Oryctolagus cuniculus: one gene and its partners. The protein of the gene in region 1 purifies or fractionates together with the protein of each later gene. This does not show direct contact. Links are inferred from orthologs where the notes say so. Each region holds a gene or a part of one and is shown on either strand. Other genes may lie near its edges. The genes, in order: OGDH, PDHA1 and DLST.

Evidence for each region.
Region 2: the proteins of OGDH (region 1) and PDHA1 fractionate together in Homo sapiens (co-fractionation; 3 studies listed by BioGRID). This does not show direct contact. The link is inferred for Oryctolagus cuniculus from reciprocal best matches to the Homo sapiens genes OGDH and PDHA1.
Region 3: the proteins of OGDH (region 1) and DLST fractionate together in Homo sapiens (co-fractionation; 3 studies listed by BioGRID). This does not show direct contact. The link is inferred for Oryctolagus cuniculus from reciprocal best matches to the Homo sapiens genes OGDH and DLST.

What each region holds. Positions count from the first base shown.
Region 1 is NC_091447.1:51,951,908-51,957,724, forward strand, and holds the start of OGDH (2-oxoglutarate dehydrogenase complex component E1), read left to right. Parts: upstream 1-2,093; 5' UTR 2,094-2,196; intron 2,197-2,500; exon of another isoform or gene 2,501-2,639; intron 2,640-5,817. UniProt on the Homo sapiens protein: 2-oxoglutarate dehydrogenase (E1o) component of the 2-oxoglutarate dehydrogenase complex (OGDHC). Participates in the first step, rate limiting for the overall conversion of 2-oxoglutarate to succinyl-CoA and CO(2) catalyzed by the whole OGDHC.
Region 2 is NC_091453.1:5,376,114-5,382,003, reverse strand, and holds the start of PDHA1 (pyruvate dehydrogenase E1 component subunit alpha, somatic form, mitochondrial), read right to left. Parts: upstream 4,068-5,890; 5' UTR 3,932-4,067; coding exon 3,875-3,931; intron 1-3,874. UniProt on the Homo sapiens protein: The pyruvate dehydrogenase complex catalyzes the overall conversion of pyruvate to acetyl-CoA and CO(2), and thereby links the glycolytic pathway to the tricarboxylic cycle.
Region 3 is NC_091451.1:20,942,175-20,948,064, reverse strand, and holds the start of DLST (dihydrolipoyllysine-residue succinyltransferase component of 2-oxoglutarate dehydrogenase complex, mitochondrial), read right to left. Parts: upstream 3,704-5,890; 5' UTR 3,644-3,703; coding exon 3,581-3,643; intron 3,043-3,580; coding exon 3,009-3,042; intron 2,097-3,008; exon of another isoform or gene 561-2,096; intron 13-560; exon of another isoform or gene 1-12. UniProt on the Homo sapiens protein: Dihydrolipoamide succinyltransferase (E2) component of the 2-oxoglutarate dehydrogenase complex. The 2-oxoglutarate dehydrogenase complex catalyzes the overall conversion of 2-oxoglutarate to succinyl-CoA and CO(2).

The DNA of each region.
Region 1 (5,817 bases):
CTCTCAGCGCCATATTGTGGGAGAGCAGATGCATAGAATAAGTCTTAATTCCAGTAACTTAGTCTAGTCTCAGTTGCTCCCCACAGAAAACAAAGCGTTGTGAAAGATACAAGCATGAAATGAGGCTTTCCCCGGCTTGGAGGGCCTGGTCTTGGCCCAGAAGAGAATGCAGATGCGAGACACAGCAGTGGTCAGCAAGGCAGCAAAGCTGAGAGGAGCACTGGTCGGAGCCAGCAGGTGCGCAGGGAAGAACCGAGCGCTCACTTGGTGACGAGTACGTGACAGCGCAGGAGGGCGGCCCAGCAAAGGGCTGAGCCCTGTGTTCAGACTGCAGTCCTGTGGGCAGGAGTACGGGTTCCCTCCTTCTCCCTGCCTCCCTCTTGTGGGAAATTGTGGGTGGGGAGTTTTCTGGGTGTGGAGTTCCCACAAATCCTCCTAGGACCTCATGAGCACAGTGTTGTGGACCTAATGGTCCCCTTGGTGAAGGGCAGGGGAGTTCCCCTGCGCTGGCCCCTGGGAGATGGTACAACTGCTGGGCTGTTTGCAGGGTGTTTCCTTGTTCCACTGCATATAAGGCTTTCTTTAAAAACGTTCATTTTCAGGGGTGGTGCTGTGGCTTAGCAGGTAAAGCCGCGGCCTGCGGTGCCGGCATCCCATACGGGCGCCTGTTCAGGTCCTGGCTGCTCTACTTCTGATCCAGCTCTCTGCTGTGGCCTGGGAAAGCAGTGGAGGATGGCCCAAGTCCTTGGGCCCCTGCACCCACGAGGGAGACCAGAAGAAACTCCTGGCTCCGGATCAGCCCAGTGTTGTGGCCACTTGGGGACTGAACCAGCGAATGAAAGGCCTTTTCTCTCTGCCTTTCAAATAAATAAATAAATATGTATTTTAAAACACTCATTTTCTGCAGCCCCTCTTTGGCATACGCTACTATGCACCTACCTACCTTAACAAATTGGCTTCCAGGGTTCCTGGGGGGATTAACGATAAGGAATTCTGAGGCTACGGCTGGGGGTTAGAGGCAGGTGCGCACCCAGGTGGCCCTCCTTTGCTGGGTCAGCAACAGGCCGGGCACCTGATCTTGAGGGGCTCCCTCCATTTGAGGCCTCCATGTGGGACCTGGGACCCAGATGTTGTCCGTAGAGGGCACAAAGGAGGCCGGTGCCGCGGCTCACTGGGCTAATCCTCCGCCTGCGGCACTGGCACACCAGATCCTGTCCCGGTTGCCCCTCTTCCAGGCCAGCTCTCTGCTGTGGCCCGGGAGTGCAGTGGAGGATGGCCCAAGTGCTTGGGCCCTGCACCCCATGGGAGACCAGGAGAAGCACCTGGCTCCTGCCTTCGGATCAGCGCGGTGCGCTGGCCGCGGCGGCCATTGGAGGGTGAACCAACGGCAAAGGAAGACCTTTCTCTCTCTCACTGTCCACTCCGCCTGTCAATAAATAAATAAATTTAAAAAATTTAAAAAAAAGAGGACACAAAGGAGCTCCTGCGTCTGGCGACCCGGGACGCCCGTGGGGTCGGCGGGACCACCACTCCCTCAACTCAGTCCTCACGGAGGGGCTGCTCTGCGACCAGAGGCCGGAGATTCGCTCCGTCAAAGCCGTCCCAAGGGCTTGCCTCAGTACTTGACGAACCGTAACTCACCGGACGTCATCAGTTTGGAAAGACTTTTCCCCAAATCCTAACACTCTGAAAGGGGCCCATCAGCGTTCTATCTCGGTCGAGGGCTCTGGGGCCAGGGGCCGGGTGGGCCCCTGCCTTCTGCACACTAAGGGTGGAACACTCAGAATAGCGCAGCCGAAGCGCCAGTCACAGAGCCTGGCGCAAAATGGGCGCCTACTGGCGCGGACTTTGTTGCTCAAATTCGACCCATTTCACCGCTCTCGAATTCCCAAGAGGCTTAGGAAACACGGCTGTCAGGCACCGGGCACTGAGGCCGAGGAAGCGGCAGCTGAAGCCCACCCGTCCGTCCTGCGGGCCCGAGCACAGGCCTGGGTTGCAGCAGCCGGCGCCCCTACCCCACCGCCCTCAGAGTCCGGCGCGCTTCTGTGACGCCACGACGCCAACTCGTGGAAGGGGCGGGGCTCCTGCTCGGGGCGGGGCTACGTGCTGACGCCACGCGCCGGGGCGGGGCCGAGAGTTTGGTGCCCCGGAGCGGGGTGTCGGCGCCTCAGTCGGGTGGAGCCGCGCGGGAGACAGGTAACCGCGCGCCGCTGCGGGCTGGGGGCAGGGGCCGGGGGCTGCGGCGCCCGCAGGCTCGAGTCGCTGGTCACGGCGAGGGTGGGGCCCTGCGCCCTTGGAGCCGCGGGCAGCTTGGTGACCCGGAGTGGAGTAGGACAGAGCGGGCGGACGGGGCGGTGGGAGGGGCGCGCCTGACGAGCGGGCGCGGCAGCCAATGGCGCGGCGAGGCCCGTGGGGGCCTGGGTGGGCCCCGGCGGCGGAAGTGGGGAGCGGCGGCCAGGGTGACCCCCAAGGTCGCGCGGCGTCACGTGTCGGGCGGCGGAGAGGGCGTCCCGTGCGCCCCGCGTGCCTGTGGCGAGCCCGCGGAGGGCGCGCGCGTCCTTGAGCGCCGCGCGGGGCGGACGGAGCCGCGTCCTCGGGCTTCGGGGGGCCCTGGCACGTTTCGGCGCCGCGTTCTTGAGGTAGCGCCTCGCGCGCCGTAGGACGCGCCCACGTGAAGTGCGCCATTCCGCGTCCGGAGTGAACCGCTCGCGGGCGAGACACGAAGGACTCCGGAGTGTTGGCAGAGCGCAGCGAGGAGCTGGGGGTGCCGCGGCGCGGGCTGGGGAGCCTGGTCCTGACGCGCGGTTCCCAGGGGCTCTGCGTGCGTGGAGCACTTGGTTTTAAAATGTTGAGGCTTATGTAAGTCAGGGAACCTACTCCGTTGGTCCGTTCCGTGCGGGTACAGGGCGCGGAGTCCTGTACCCACTTCTCTGCTTGATACGCTCTGGAGACCACAGCCGAAGACTGCCGTTGGTCCAGGCCGGGATGCGGGGCGTTTCTGCCGCCGCGGACCCGGTGCCTTCTCGTACCACACCCACCGCTTAGCGCCCTGCGGTGGCCTCGATTCGTGTTGGGAATGCAGCAGCCGGACGTGCCGGCGAGTTCACCCAGCTGGCCGCTGGCGTCTCTGTTTCCCTCCAGGCTCTGCGGTGGGCTTCTCTCTTCCTCCGCGGAGGGCCGTGGCCATCTGGGCTGGCGCTCCCGTAATGCCGGTTTACTTCCCAAGGGCTGGTGATAGGTCAGGCACAGCCCGGGTTTCCCACGTGAGTGGCCGGAGTCTGCTGGACCTGTGGCCGCTGCCTCGCAGGTGTGCGTCAGAAGGAAGCTGGGAGTGCCCGAGGCGTTCTGGTGTGGGCGGCAGCTGTCGCCCCGGGGCTAAATGCCCACTGCCTCTTGTGCAGGTTTCCATGTGAACAAAGTTGACGTTTCTCTGAAATAAGTTACCGGAAGTGCGATCCACAAGTCAGAGCAGCTGCGTGTTGAATCTAGCAGAAATGGCCAGCTTCCTCTGTGGACTGGCCGCGCACTCCCCGCAGCAGTGTGTGTGATCCGGCTTTTCCACAGCTGCTGACGCTATTTTCTACGTCGGCCGTGCTATTAGATGTGTAGTGATGTCTCATTATGTCTGTAATTTGCACCTCTCTGGTGGCGAGTGACGTTGACCATCTCCATGTGCTTGTTTGACATCCTTGTGTTCTCTTGGGTGAAATGTTTACTCATAGCCTTTCCTTTTTTTTTTTTTTTTTTTTTTTTTTCTCTAAGATTTTTGTATTTATCTGGAAGGCAGAGTTACAGCGAGAAAGAGCGAATTTTCCATCTGCTGGTTCACTCCCCAAGTGGCCACAGCCAGGAGCCAGGAGCTGCTTCTGGCTCTCCCACATTAGTGTAGGAGCCTAACACTTGGGCCATCTGACGATGCTTTCCCAGGCCGTTAGCAGGGAGCTGGATCAGAAGGAGAGCGGGAACCACCGTGTGGCGTGGCGGGGTAAAGCCCCAGCCTGCAGTGCTGTCATCCCATGTGGGCGCCGGTTCTAGTCCCGGCTGCTCCTCTTCTGATCCAGCTCTCTGCTATGGCCTGGGAAAGCAGTACATGTCCAAGTCCTTGGGCCCTGCACCTGTTTGGGAGGTCTAGAAGTTGTTCCTGGCTCCTAGCTTTAGATCAGCTCAGCTCTGGCCGTTGGGGTATCTGGGGAGTGAACCAGTGGATGGAAGACCTCTCTCCATCTCTCTGTAGCTCAAATAAATAAAATAAATCTTAAAAAAATAAAAAAAGAAGTAGAGCAGCGGGACTCCCAGCTGGCACGCATATGGGATGCCTGTGCTTCAAGCTGCGGCTCTACCCACTGCAGCGCTCGCCCCATGTTTGCCTGTTTTGTAATTGGATAAGCGTTGAGGTTTGGAAATTCTTTGTATATTCTAGATAGCAGGTCTTTTTGGATGTGTATTTTGTACATATTTTTTCCTAGTCTGAGCTTGTCTTTTCATCTTTACTGCATCTTTTGCGGAGCAAAAGTTTGAGGGTTTTTTTTTTTTTTTTTTTGAGGTTTATTTATTTGAAAGAGTTACACAAAGAGAGGAGGAGAGAGATCGATCCATCGATCTTCATCCTCTGGTTCACTCCCCAAATGACTGCTACAGCCGGTACTGAGCCAAGCTGAAGCCAGGAGTCAGGAACTTCTTCTGGGTCTCCCACATGTGTGCAGGGACCCAGCACTTGGGCCGTCTGCTGCTGCTTTCCCAGGCACATTAGCAGGGAGCTGGGTCGAAAGTGGAGCAGCCCGGTCCTGAGCCAGCGCCCAGAGGGGATGCCGGTGTCACGGGCAGCAGCTTTTACCTGCTATGAGCAATGCCAGCCTCAAGGGTTTTAGTAAAGAAAAAAATTATTTTTAAGATTTAATTGTTTTATTTGAAAGGCAGAGTTCACAGAGGGAGAGAGATCTTCCATCTGCAGGTTACTCCACAGATGGCCACAGTGCCTGGGGCAGGGCCAGGCCAAAGCTAGGAGCCTGGAATTCCACCCGGGGCTCCCACAGCACATCAGCCCGGAGCTTTATTGGAAGTGGAGCAGTTGGGATTTGAACCTGGTGCTCATACAGGATGCTGGTATTGCAGGTGGCAATGTGGGTCCCCATTTGATGGTCCTTCACTTTGATGAAGTCTGGTTTATCAGTTTTGCTTTTGATTAGATTGCGCTTTTGCTGTCAGATGTAAGAAATTTTTTTGTTGAGCCCTAGTTCCTGAAGGTTTTATTCTGTGTACTTTTCTGGAAGTTTTATGCTTGTGCTTTACATTTAAATTGATTAATTTTGAGGTGATTTATGTATATTGTAAAGTTTTTGGCCTTTGGTTTTTCTGCTTGTGGATCTTTAACCAGGACCATTTGTTAGAAAACATCCTTTCTCCACAAAGTGGCTTTTGCACTTTCGTCAAAAATCAGGTGTGGGGCTGGTATAGCAGGTTGAGATGCCACATGCGACGTCCGGATGGGAGCTCGGTTCAAGTCCCAGCTGCTCCACTTCTGAGCCAGCTCCCTGCTGATGCACCTGGGAAAGCAGCGGAAGATGACTCAGGTGTTGGGCCCCTGCCGCCCATGTGAGAGGCCCAGGTGGAGTTCCCAGCTGTGGCCATTTGGGGAGTGGAGCAGCTGATGGAAGTTGTCTCTGTCTCTCTCTTAACTTTGCCTTCCAGGTAAATCAGTAAATCTTAAAAAAATCAGGTGTGTGACTGTTTCTGCGTCCTCTGTTCTGTTGATCTGTCTCATCACCAGTGCCACCCAGTGGGTCTTGAAGTCAGGTAGACTGATCTTGTGTTTTATTC
Region 2 (5,890 bases), on another chromosome or scaffold:
AAAATTTATTTATTTGAAAAGCAGTTACATAGAGGCAGAGAAAGAGAGCGAGAGATCGTACATCAGTTGGTTCACTCCTCAAATGGCCACAATGGCCAGAGCTGAGTCCATCTGAAGCCAGGAGCAGCTTCTGGGTCTCCCTCACGGGTGCAGGGGCCCAAGGACTCGGGCCATCTTCCACTGCTTTCCCAGGCCACAGCAGAGAGCTGGATTGGAAGTGGAGCAGCTGGGACTTGAAGCAGCGCCCATATGGGATGCCGGCACTGCAGGCGGTGGTTTTACCCACTACGCCACAGTGCCGGCCCCCAAATAAAAACTTGAGTTCCTAAATACATTAGAAGCATTCAAGTGAAAAACAAGGGGAAAAACATTTCAAAAATTCCAGATTCCACCAATGGCAAATAGAAATCTTACCTATTATTTAAAAAGCCAAAAGAATACTAGGAGTAAAGATCTCCAAGGGTGCCAGTCTTGTTGTGTAGTGGGCTAAGCCGCCACTATGATGCTGGCATCCCATATGGGCACCAGTTCATGTGCCGGCTGCTTCACTTTTGATCCAGCTCCCTGCTAATGACCTGGGGAAAGCAGTGGAAGATGGCCTAAGTGCCTGGGCCCCACAACCCAAGTGGGAGACCTGGAAGAAGGTCCTGGCTCCTGGCTTCAGCCTGGTCCAGCCCCAGCCGTTGAAGCCATCTGGGGAGTGAACCAGCAGATAGAAGATTCTCTCTCCTCAACTCTTTCAAATTAATAAATAAATCTTAAAAAAAAAAAAAAAAAGTATCTCACGTCATTGAGGCCAGTGCTGTGGCAGTGTCAGGCTGACACTTGTTTCAGAATGCCAGTTTGAGTCCTGGCTGATCCAGCACCCTGCTAATAAACCTGGGAAGGCAACGGAAGATGGCCCAAGTGCTCAGGAAACCTGCTACCCACATGGGAGACCTGGATGGAGTTCCCAGCTCTGGTTTCAGCTCAGCCCAGCCCTGGCTGTTGTGGCCATTTGAGGAGAGACTCAATGACTAGCAGTTCTTTCTCTTTCTCTCTCTCTCTCTCTGCCTTTCAAATAAACCTCTTTAAAAAAAAGAAGTCGCAACAAATAAAAACACTAAGACAAAGATTATGATTTTAAATGCAATTCAGTCTTCTATAAGAATTTTTAAAACTATCAATTTAATTCAAAAATAAATCACAAGCTTGTAATTCATTCAAAGTTTCCTGCCAAACATGTCATGATACAATGATAATCGACAAGCCTGAGATAAATCACCATACATCCCTGGTTTTAAGAGGAGAAAAGAAAAAAAAAATGAAAAGGGGAAAAAACAGAGTTCTGGAAGGCAAGATAGGGCACAATGTGGATAAAGTGTCACAACCATCAATCAAACGAACCACTTGACCTTTCTCCATCCCCTCCCTCTCTGAGTATCACACAGATGGTGCAACTCTAGTACCCAATTTGCCTAATTTAGGTTAGTCGCAGTTGATTATTATCAGGATTTTTGAAAGGCTTATTTGCAAAAAATATTTTTACATATATATGAAAGTAAAAACCTTGATTATTTTGTTTTTTATATTTAAATAAAAAGACATCCATAAGTATGAAAAAAATCACAAAATATAGTTATTCTCAGGGGTTGGCCATTTAGCATAGCAGTTAGGATGCTGGTTGGGACACCTGAATCCCACTGTACCCGGGTTCAAGACCCAGCTCCACTCCCAAGTCCAGCTTCCTGCTACATGTACTCTGGGAAGCAGCAGTCATGGCTCAAATAGTTGGGTTCCTGCCAACCACATGGGAGACCTACACTAAGATTCTGGCTCCCGCTCCCGCTGGCTCAGCTCCAGCCATTGCAGATATTGAATGAGCAAACAGAAGATCTCTCTCAGTCCATCTCTGCCTTTCAAATAAAATGTGTAAACCCTGACACATTGGTTTATTACTCCATCCTTTAAAAAGATAAAGGTGAAACATCTGGTCCTTACCATCTTCAGAAGTTTCAGAAATGCCTCCTAGTTGACTAGCACGTGACACGTATAGTCACACAGAAAACTATCTGTAGAGTTTGCACCAAGTGGGAAGCTGCCTGGGTACTTTAGGGTGACCTGACTGCTGGAACTCAATTTTTTTTCCTACTGGAAGGTAGGGGAAAAGAATAAACCTGAGTGCCTAATAATAACGATTTAAGGGTGTTTCTGAGCCCCTAAGTACTGGTACATCTACAAACCGGTATCACCAAAAGGGATGACTTAGAGAAAAGGCAGAAACTCTGCTAGCAAGGTTTGACAGTGGAAACTTTTTATCTATTAGTTTCCAATCGCAATTCAAATTCTTGACACCTCCCAAGTTTAACTTTGAAGTTCCTGGGAAACTGTTTCTTTCCACTAAGTGCGAAGCTTCAATAACAAAGTTTCTACTGCTTTTGCACTTCTAGTCTATCCAATCTCACAGCAGAAAGGAAAGGCCACTTAACTTCTGCAGATAACTAAAGCACTGCACAATGCTGCAAACACGTTTCTACTGCTGTTTTTCCACTAAAAACCAATGCTAGGGGATTCAACGAGATAAAGCTGGGAGGTATCTACTAGTGCCTAGCACATACTGCGAGCTCAAGAAATGGTGGCTGGAGCCTGCGTGTGGGCAGAAAAAAGGAATGCCCCTTGTGCTTCGCCATCAGGTCAATCCCAGTACAATTCCAAGGTCAATACAGTTCTGATCAATCAAATTCTCCTGTAAATCTTAGTAAATGGGATTCCTAGAGGGGTTCAGCCGCTACCTTTTGACAACCTCTGCCCAGACTAGGCACAGCTGCATCGAGTCCTGGGAGAATTACTAGAACCGGAATTACAAGTCAAAGCTTGGCTCTGCAGTTATACCAAGTAACCCCATCTCACTGTGCCCAGAGGTCAAAATGCTAGCAGCTCAGGTGAAAGGCGCATCTGAAAACTGGGGCTGCAAATAGCTTAAGTGCGATTTCCTTTAGCCACCTTTACCCTAAGGGGATGTGTGTACGTCCCCCCCCCCCCGCACTTAAGGGGGGAGAGCAGTTTCCTGTGGGTTCCGCTGGACCGCTTTCCACTGCCAAGAAAAGTTAAGCCGGAGAGGAAGTGGGTTCCTGGGGAGCGTGACCACGTCTAAACCCTCAGACACCCACAAACGTACACCAAACTGGGCGGTCAACACAGAGTACCCACTATGTGCCAGGTGCTAGTCGGAAACGTTTACGCACGCGTCACTCGTAGAATCCTCAGACAACCCCACGAGGTAGGTACCCTCATATACATTTTAGAGATAAGGACACTGGGCGGGGTGGAAGGTGGGGGGGGGGCGTTCAAAACTTGCCCAAGCTCACAGGACTGCTGTTTGAATTCCAGCCAGTTCGTTTCCGGATTCCACGCTCTTTACTAACACCCACTAAAGGACCTCTCAGCCAAGACAAACATTAAGTTAGGGAGAACTGAAATGAGTGGGGTCAAGTGAAGACTCTTACAAGCTTAAGGCACCCCCTCCATACCCTGCAACCAACGGGCACTTTTCGAGCACACCTAATCGCTCCGCGCGGAGCTGGGCTCGGGGAGAGCCGGAGAGTCGTGACCGATCTCCACGCGGACCCGGCAGGGGTTGCCCCCCCTCCCCAGTCGGCCGCCCAGCGCCGTTCCCCCCCGAGACTAGACGCAGAATGCACGGCGTGGAGGCAAAAGCAAAAGCCCGCAGCTCCCCCGGCTCCCCGCCGCATCTTTTACTCAGCGCCCAATCCAAGCAGCGCGTCTAACTGCGAGCCCCGAGGCCCGGCCCGCCCTTCGGCCTCCTCCGGCACCGCCTCGGTCCCGTTCGCGCTCCATCCCGATCCGTCCAGGCCGCTGGCTCGGGCCGCCTCACCGGCTTCTGGGCAGCGCCAGACAACACGCGGGAGACAGCGGCCAGCATCTTCCTCATGGAGCGCAAAGAAGCTGCAACAACGGCGACTCCCAAACTGCCCAAGGGGAACTGCTAAGCCGACCCCAAGTCTCCTTCAGGCGCCCCAGCAGAAGCCACGCCTTAAACGCAACGCGACGTGGCGTCGGAATGACGTCATGCGCCGCGCCGGGCCGCGGGCCAACCAGGACGGCTCCCAGGCTGTGTTCCGCCCACTTGAAAGGCCTGCGACCACCCATTGTGTGTCGGCGCCATGGGGGGCGGAGTTGCGGCTTCCTCGCGTCACCATGCGGCGGGAGAGGGAGGGGTCGACTATCTGAAGGCGCCTGCGTGGGAGAGTGGGTCCCCGCCTCCAGCCTTCTGGTTGGATTCTGCGCAGACGACGGTGGTAGCCTTCAGGCTGGTCCTGACGTGTGGCTGGTCCTGCTGGTGCTGTAACTGCAGCCTTGGCTCTGCACACGAGATGATGAAGATTAGCAGCCTAGCCGGGGCCGAAAGATAGACGGTACAGTCTTTGTAAGTGATTCTGCCACTAACTTGGCTTTAAAAGATCACGTAATACAATCTGGTCTCCCACGTGGTTGGCAGGGATCCAACTACTAGAGCGGAGCCGTCACCTGCTGCCTAGCAGGGTGCGCTCTGCTTTTCAAAGAAAAACAAATAGGTAAAGGATCACATAACAGTTGTAAAATGCTGCTGATTCCCCAACTAAATACTGAGGAGTCAGTGGGAAAAACCTTTTGGCTCTACTTACTGATTCAGAAGCTCAAAGAGAGTTAACAGCAGGACACAGCCAAAGATAAAAGGACACAGAGAAACAGACTCCAAAGCAACTGGGCTCTGTAGAGAGGAGTCAGGGCTCAGAAACCCATCCTGCTGGGCCCTGCTGGAATTGCACCTAAGGTTCTGGGTTCTGAATTGGCTCCATTTAAAGAAGGATAATGACAAAAATGAGTGGCATCCAGAGGATGGCGGTCACAATGATGAGGGGCTTAGACTGTGACTTGCGAGGAATGACTCAAGGAGTTAGGAAGAAACTGGACTGATTTAGAGTGAGCTAGGTTATGTTGCTGTAACACTCAACCCCAAATTTTAGTCTCTTTAAGAACATCAAGTGACTGGCCAGCGCTGCGCCTCACTAGGCTAATCCTCCGCCTTGCGGTGCCGGCACACCCGGTTCTAGTCCCGGTCGGAGCGCCGGATTCTGTCCCGGTTGCCCCTCTTCCAGGCCAGCTCTCTGCTGTGGCCAGGGAGTGCAGTGGAGGATGGCCCAAGTGCTTGGGCCCTGCACCTCATGGGAGACCAGGAGAAGCACCTGGCTCCTGCCTTCGGATCAGCGCAGTGCACCGGCCGCGGCGGCCATTGGAGGGTGAACCAACAGTAAAAGGAAGACCTTTCTCTCTGTCTCTCTCTCTCACTGTCCACTCTGCATGTCAAAAAAAAAAAAAAAAAAAAAAAAACATGAAGTGACTTAGCTTGTTCATACCACAACTTCCACAGCTTGGCTGGGACTGCACTCCATGTCATTTCTCTGGAACCTTGAGTGATGGAGCAACCTCTGTCTGGAACTTAGCTTGTCTCACGGTGAAGGGAAAAGCTGTCACTTCGAATGGCTCTCAGAGCTTCTGCCTGAGATCAGCGTAGTGGTGGAGTGGGCTAAGCCAATGCCTGCGATGCCAGCATCCCATATAACCACCAGCTGAAGTCCCAACTGCTCTGCTTCCAATCCAACTCCCTGGTAATGCACCTAGGAAAGCAGCAGAGGAGCAGAGGATGGCCCGAGTACCAGGATGATGTGTTGGGCTCCTGCCTTCAGCCTGGCCCAGCCCTGGCTGTTGCAGCCATTTACTAACCAGCAGATAGAAGGCCTCCCCTCCTCCTCTGTCACTCACACCTTTCAAATCTTTCTTAAAAAAAAAAAAAAAGAATGATCTAACCCGTAAGACATATTTGTTTGTTTGTTTGTTTGTTTTTAAAAAA
Region 3 (5,890 bases), on another chromosome or scaffold:
ACAGAGCACCGGGTACAAGGGGTTAAGAGTGGGCACTGTTTGGAAAAGAAAGGGGAGATATCTAATGGCACAACCCAAAGTAGTTTTATAATCTTATTCACCTTGAAAAACTCCTAACATACAGGGGTACCTGTATGCTTTCACATTAAAATGTCTCTATTCCTCTGTTCAAAATGACTGAAGCTTGACAAAGACATATGACGGCTTATCCTACAACTTCACATAACCTAATGTGAGAAGCAGCGGAGTATTAGGTCTGGCTCAGAGTGGACTGGGCTGGAAGTTTTATTGCCTGAACTCCAGTAGCAAGACGGGGCCATTTTAGGGCCACAGCCTCCGGCTTGTTCCAGGACTGAGCAAATCATTTCCTCACCTCTCAGCCTCCTCCCACACGCCTTCCTGCATGTGGCCGTTCTGGTCCCTCTCTACAAGGTGCGAGCCCCTTTCTGCCCACCAACTGCCCTCATGGGGATAACTGCATTTCCCTACCTGATGGCTAGCAACTATGGCTACTTCAAATATATTTTCTTACGTCTTTTCTTCTTCTTCTTCTTTTTTAGGTCTATTAACAACTCCTCCTGAATGATGGGCTCAGCAGGCACCAAATGAGAGACAGCTTCCTCTCAAGCCCACCTCCTCGCAAACACGCCCAGAGTCCGGTCAGTCCCCTCCATGTCTGGCAGTCAGTGACTAAGCAGCGTATCCTTGAAACGGAACAGCCAGCAGCCCACACTGATTTCTGGAACCACGTCTAATTTACAGTTCATCCTACAGCAGGTTTCATTCGCACAGTGCTTGAGGGTTTATAAAAAGCTGCACGTAACGACCTACTTTGATGTTCAAGGCTCATAGCAACTCTGAAGTCGTACAACCACCTGCCTTCACTGCTTTTCATATATAAGCAGGGCTTCCGGGGATTGACTGACTACCCCGGGTGAATGCCCAGCCAAGATGCAACCCCACGTGCAAGGGTCCCCCCCTTGTCCTGCCAGTCTATAAAGAGGAGAATGTTTACTGACATTTCTCGGGATTCCTAGTAGAGAAAGTTCATCACTGAGCGCCTGCTAGGAACTGACACAGTGCTGGTGTCTCACATTCTCAGGACTCAGGATAAAGTCCAAACACTTTGCACAGTCCTGTACCATCCAGTCCTACCTAACTTTGCAGCCAGGTAGGCTTCTTTCCATTCCCCTAATAGGGCAATTCCCAGCCTGCCTAAAAACCTCGACAGAGCAATTCCCTTTGCCTGAAATATCATTTACCTGGCTAATTTCTACGTATTCAAGTCTCAGCTTCAATGTCACTTCTTCAGGGAAGCCTTTATCAGCATTCCCTACTCTCCCAAGCTGGACTGCATCATCCCCTGTCTCATCAAGCTGGACTTCTGAGTACCCACAATGCAATCATGTCCTTACGTGTGCACAAACATCTGCTCACGCTCTCTCCAGCCAGCCTAAGATCTTCGAATGTGGAGACCATCTGCTGTTTCCTTGTCACCAGGCACAGGGGCTGGCACTGTAGTAGCACTCAAACCATTTATTGAGTACATGAGTAAATGAGAACATAATGGATTAAGAGTTCAGGCTAGGAGTCAGTACTGTAGTACAGTGGGTTAAGTCATGGCCTGCAGTGCCAGCAGGCGCCCATATGAGTGCCAGTTTGAGCCCAGCTGCTCCACTTCCAATCCAGTTCCCTGCTAATGTGCCTGGGAAAGCAGCAGAGGACAGCCCAAGTGCTTGGGTGCTGCACCCACGTGGGAGACCTGGAAGAAGCTCCAGACTCCTGGCTTCAGATCAGCCCAGCTCTGGTCATCACGGCCACTTGGAGAGTGAACCAGTGGATGGACACCCTTTCTCTCTGTCTCTCCCTCTGTCTATAACTCTAGCTCTCTAATAAATAAAATCTTAAAAAAAAAAAAAAAAAAGTTTAGGCTGAGGAGTCAGTGTTAAGCAGCTGCCTGCAGCACTGGCATCCCATAAGGGCACGAGTTCAAGTCCCAGGTGTTCCACTTCAGATCCACCTCCCTGCTAATGCACCTGGGAAAGCAGTGGAAGATGGCCCAGGTGCTTGGGTCCCTGCACCCACGTGGGAGACCCAGGTGAAGTTCCTGGCTCTGGCCTGGCGCAGCTGTGGCTATTGGAGAGTGAACCAGCAGATGGAAGATCTCTTTCTATCTCTCCCTCTCTAACTCTGCCTTCCAAATAAATAAATCTTTAAAAAAAAAAAAAAGTAAGAGTTCAAGCTGGGGAGTCAGGTAGGCCTGGCTTGACCAGTAGTTGGCTGAGTGACCTTGGCCAAAGCACTTACCCTTTCTTGCCTTGGGTTATGCATTTATAGAGATAATACTTCTCATTCAGGTTTGTGATGATGAACTAAAATACGCACAGATCGCAGTGAGAATATCTGGTACAATGAAAGCCTACAATAAAACTAACTCATCCAACAAATATACAAGGCACCTAATTTTAAAGATAAGTTATATAAGATAAACTACTAATAATCTCCCCCAAAAAATAAGAAAAAAAGGGATAAAAAACTAAACTCCTTCCAACAATGCAGACTCCGTCTGCTATCTCACGGCACTCTCCCCCTTAACCAAAATGCCTGGCCGAACCCCCTTCTCCTCCAGCTCCCAAGCACTGCCAGCCTCCTTCCTTACCCGGGGACTGGACAAGCTACTCCCTCTCTGCCTCCTGCTCTCCCCGGCTACATCCTCCAGGATGCAGACTCGATGTCACCTACTCGGAGCAGGCGCCCCTGTCCTCCCCACCCCAACCCCGCGAACCAAAATTCGCGCCTGCTCATCTGATGGGTAGTGCGTGCACATCTGGCCTTTCCCACTGGCCTGCGGGCTGCTGGGTCCTGGGCGAGGGGCTGGCAGGGGCCTGGCGCACAGCAAACACTCCGTGACGCTGCGGGTACAGGCGGCAACTGGGCTGCCTGTGGCCGTACACGCCGCTCTGCCCCGGGAGGAGAGCGGGTCAGGCGACGGCCGGCGCAGAACTTACCAGGCAGGGAGCGTCTCCCTAGAGGGCAGTTCCCCTGTTGAGAAAGAAGACATCATCGACGTCACCCGAGGTGAAACGAGGGGAGAAACCGCTCCTCCTGCGAAGCGCGCACGCAAAGCTGCCCCGGCGCTGGGGACGGGCAATCTCCCAACTCCACGGACAGCCGCGACGGGCGCGGACCCCGCCGGCACACCGCGTCCGCCCGACCGTCCCAACTTCCCCACGGGACTGACTGACACCCCCGGGCTTCAACAGAAGGGACGGGACGGGCCCCCGAGTGTCCAGCAGAGGCCGTCCGATGTCGGGACGGGAGCGGCTCCCCAGCCCCGGCGCGCGGGGCGGGGGGCAGCAGGTGACGGTCGGTGCGGGTGCCTCGGGAAGGCCTGCCCCGCAGGCCTCGAAACACAGCCCCGAGGGCGAGGCGGTCCCGGGCCGGCCAGCCCGCGGCCTCTGCGTCCCAGTGCCCTTGGTGCCGGGCCTGGCAGGCGCGCTGCGCCCCCGCCTTCCCGGCCGCCCGTCTGTCCATCAGCAGGTTGCTCACCCGCCGAGGCTCCGGCCCGGCCGGACCATACCTTCTGGAGGGCGGAGAGCGAGCGGCTGAACGCCCGGGACACGCAGCGGGACCGGGACAGCATCGCGACAGCAGCGCTGAGGGCGGGCGGACACCGGATATAGGGCCCGGCAACAACCGGAAGTGGGGCGGGCCGCAGCACCCGCCACGCTGCGAGGGGTGTTCGGAGCGAACCATTGGCGAGGGTGGTGGGGGCGGCTGGGCGGCGCGGGGTCCGGCGTTCCAGAGCAGGCTGTGGTGGCCACTGAGCTGCCTGCTTGCCTGCCCGAGACAGCCCTCTCGAGGGTGCCTACGACTGTCGGCGACCGCAGGGCCCCCGGGGTCGAGCGTTCCCTGGCCATTCCCCGGAGCTGGCTCGGAATTTGGCCCTCTTCTGTCTGAGACCCCGGGGTACCTAGCCATTCTGCCCCCTGCCCCACGAAGAGAGAGCAAAAAGCAGGCACGGGCTTTGAACTCGGATCCTGGCATACGTGGCTGCCTGATCTTACACCTGTGTGGCCTTGGGCAGGTGTCACTGCCTCTCAGAGCATCAGGCTTCTCCCTCTCTCTCCCTCACACACACACACACACCCTCAAGCTCTCCTTCCAAACTGTTTCCTGTACATGCCGCACATTTTTGGAAATTGGCCCCGCCCTGAGAACGTGAACTCCTATCACCTGGAGTTTAAACTCGGTCTTGTTCGCTGCTGCACCCCAGCACAGCTCAGGTGCGCAGAGTTTGTGGGCGGAATCCGGGCCTCCCTGCCGTCAGCACACTGCTCTGCTGCTCCCTAAGTGAAACCACGTGGCCGCCCCTTAGGTCCCCAGGCCCCTGAATGTTATGGATCATCACCTGCCTGATAGAGACGGCGGTTTATAAACCTGCGGCTGAACTGGTAATTGATGAAGTGTGACCGAGTGGTCTGTGCCTGTGCCTTCTGGTGTCTTCACCTGAAGCAGCTTACCTGGTCAGGACTCTCCAGGTGCTGAAAGTACCACTGGGGGTGGGGGGCGGAGAATGCAACCAGAAATCGGGAGAAGAAAGGGCAGGCATCGGCCGCGGTGCTCACGTCCTGCCTTGCATGCCCACGTCTCGTGTCAGAGTGCCTGGTTCAAATTCTGCTTCCTCTCTCAAGGACCCCCCCGGGAGGCAGCGGGCGATGATTCAAGCTCAGATTTTAAGACACAGGGAAAGCCGGCGCCGAGGCTCACTAGGCTAATCCTCCACCTTGCGGCACCGGCACACCAGGTTCTAGTCCCGGTCGGGGCGCCGGATTCTGTCCCGGTTGCCCCTCTTCCAGGCCAGCTCTCTGCTGTGGCCCGGGAGTGCAGTGGAGGATGGCCCAAGTGCTTGGGCCCTGCACCCCATGGGAGACCAGGAAAAGCACCTGGCTCCTGCCATCGGATCAGCGCGGTGCGCCGGCCGCAGCGCGCCTGCCGCGGCGGCCATTGGAGGGTGAACCAACAGCAAAGGAAGACCTTTCTCTCTGTCTTGTCTCTCTCTCTCACTGTCCACCCTGCAGGGAAAAATCCGTGCCCCGCTGCCGCTGTGACCAATCCTCGGTCTCCCTCACCTGGATTATTTCCGAAGCTCCCTGAGCACTCTTTCTCCACTCTCGTGCTCTTTTTTAAGATTTACTGTATTCATTTGAAAGGCAGAATTAGAGTGAGAGCGAGAGCGAGAGAGAGATCTTCCATCTACTGGTTCACTCCCCAAATGGCTGCATTTGGGCCAGGCCAAAGCCAGGAGCCAGGAGCTTCTTCCGGGTCCCCCATGTGGGTGCAGGGCTCCAAGCTTTTGGCCGTCCTCTGCTGCTTTCCCAGGCGTGTGAGCAGGGAGCCGGGAGCAGCTTTACCTGCTGCACCACAGCGCTGGCCCCACACTCCCACTTTCTCTAGCTTCTCCTTCACACCTATGTCAAAGATCCTGAAAGGCAAACCTAATCCTGTCGCTCCCCAGCCTAAAGTTTTCGGTTGCTTCTCCGTGTCTGTCGGACAAAGTCTCAACTCCGCCACTTGACCAGGCACCTGATAATCTGGCTTCTTCGACCGATGCCCCTCCCGTTCCCACAGATGCCGCTCTTTGCGCAGCCCCGCCCTCCTGTAATCATCCCTGCGGGCCTGTAATCACCCTGTAAGTCTCTCTCTGGAACCCTCCCTAACCCCTCTGGCAGAGTCAACAGTTACTTCTTCTGGGCTTCCAAAGCAGGTGCCTGTGCCTCTGTGTTGCGTGGTGCCATCATGCGCTGCTTCCGCTGGGCAGAGCAGAAACTGGGAACGAAACTTCTCTTTACTTTCCTGATCCTCTGGCTGTGACACAGAGCCTGGTTCT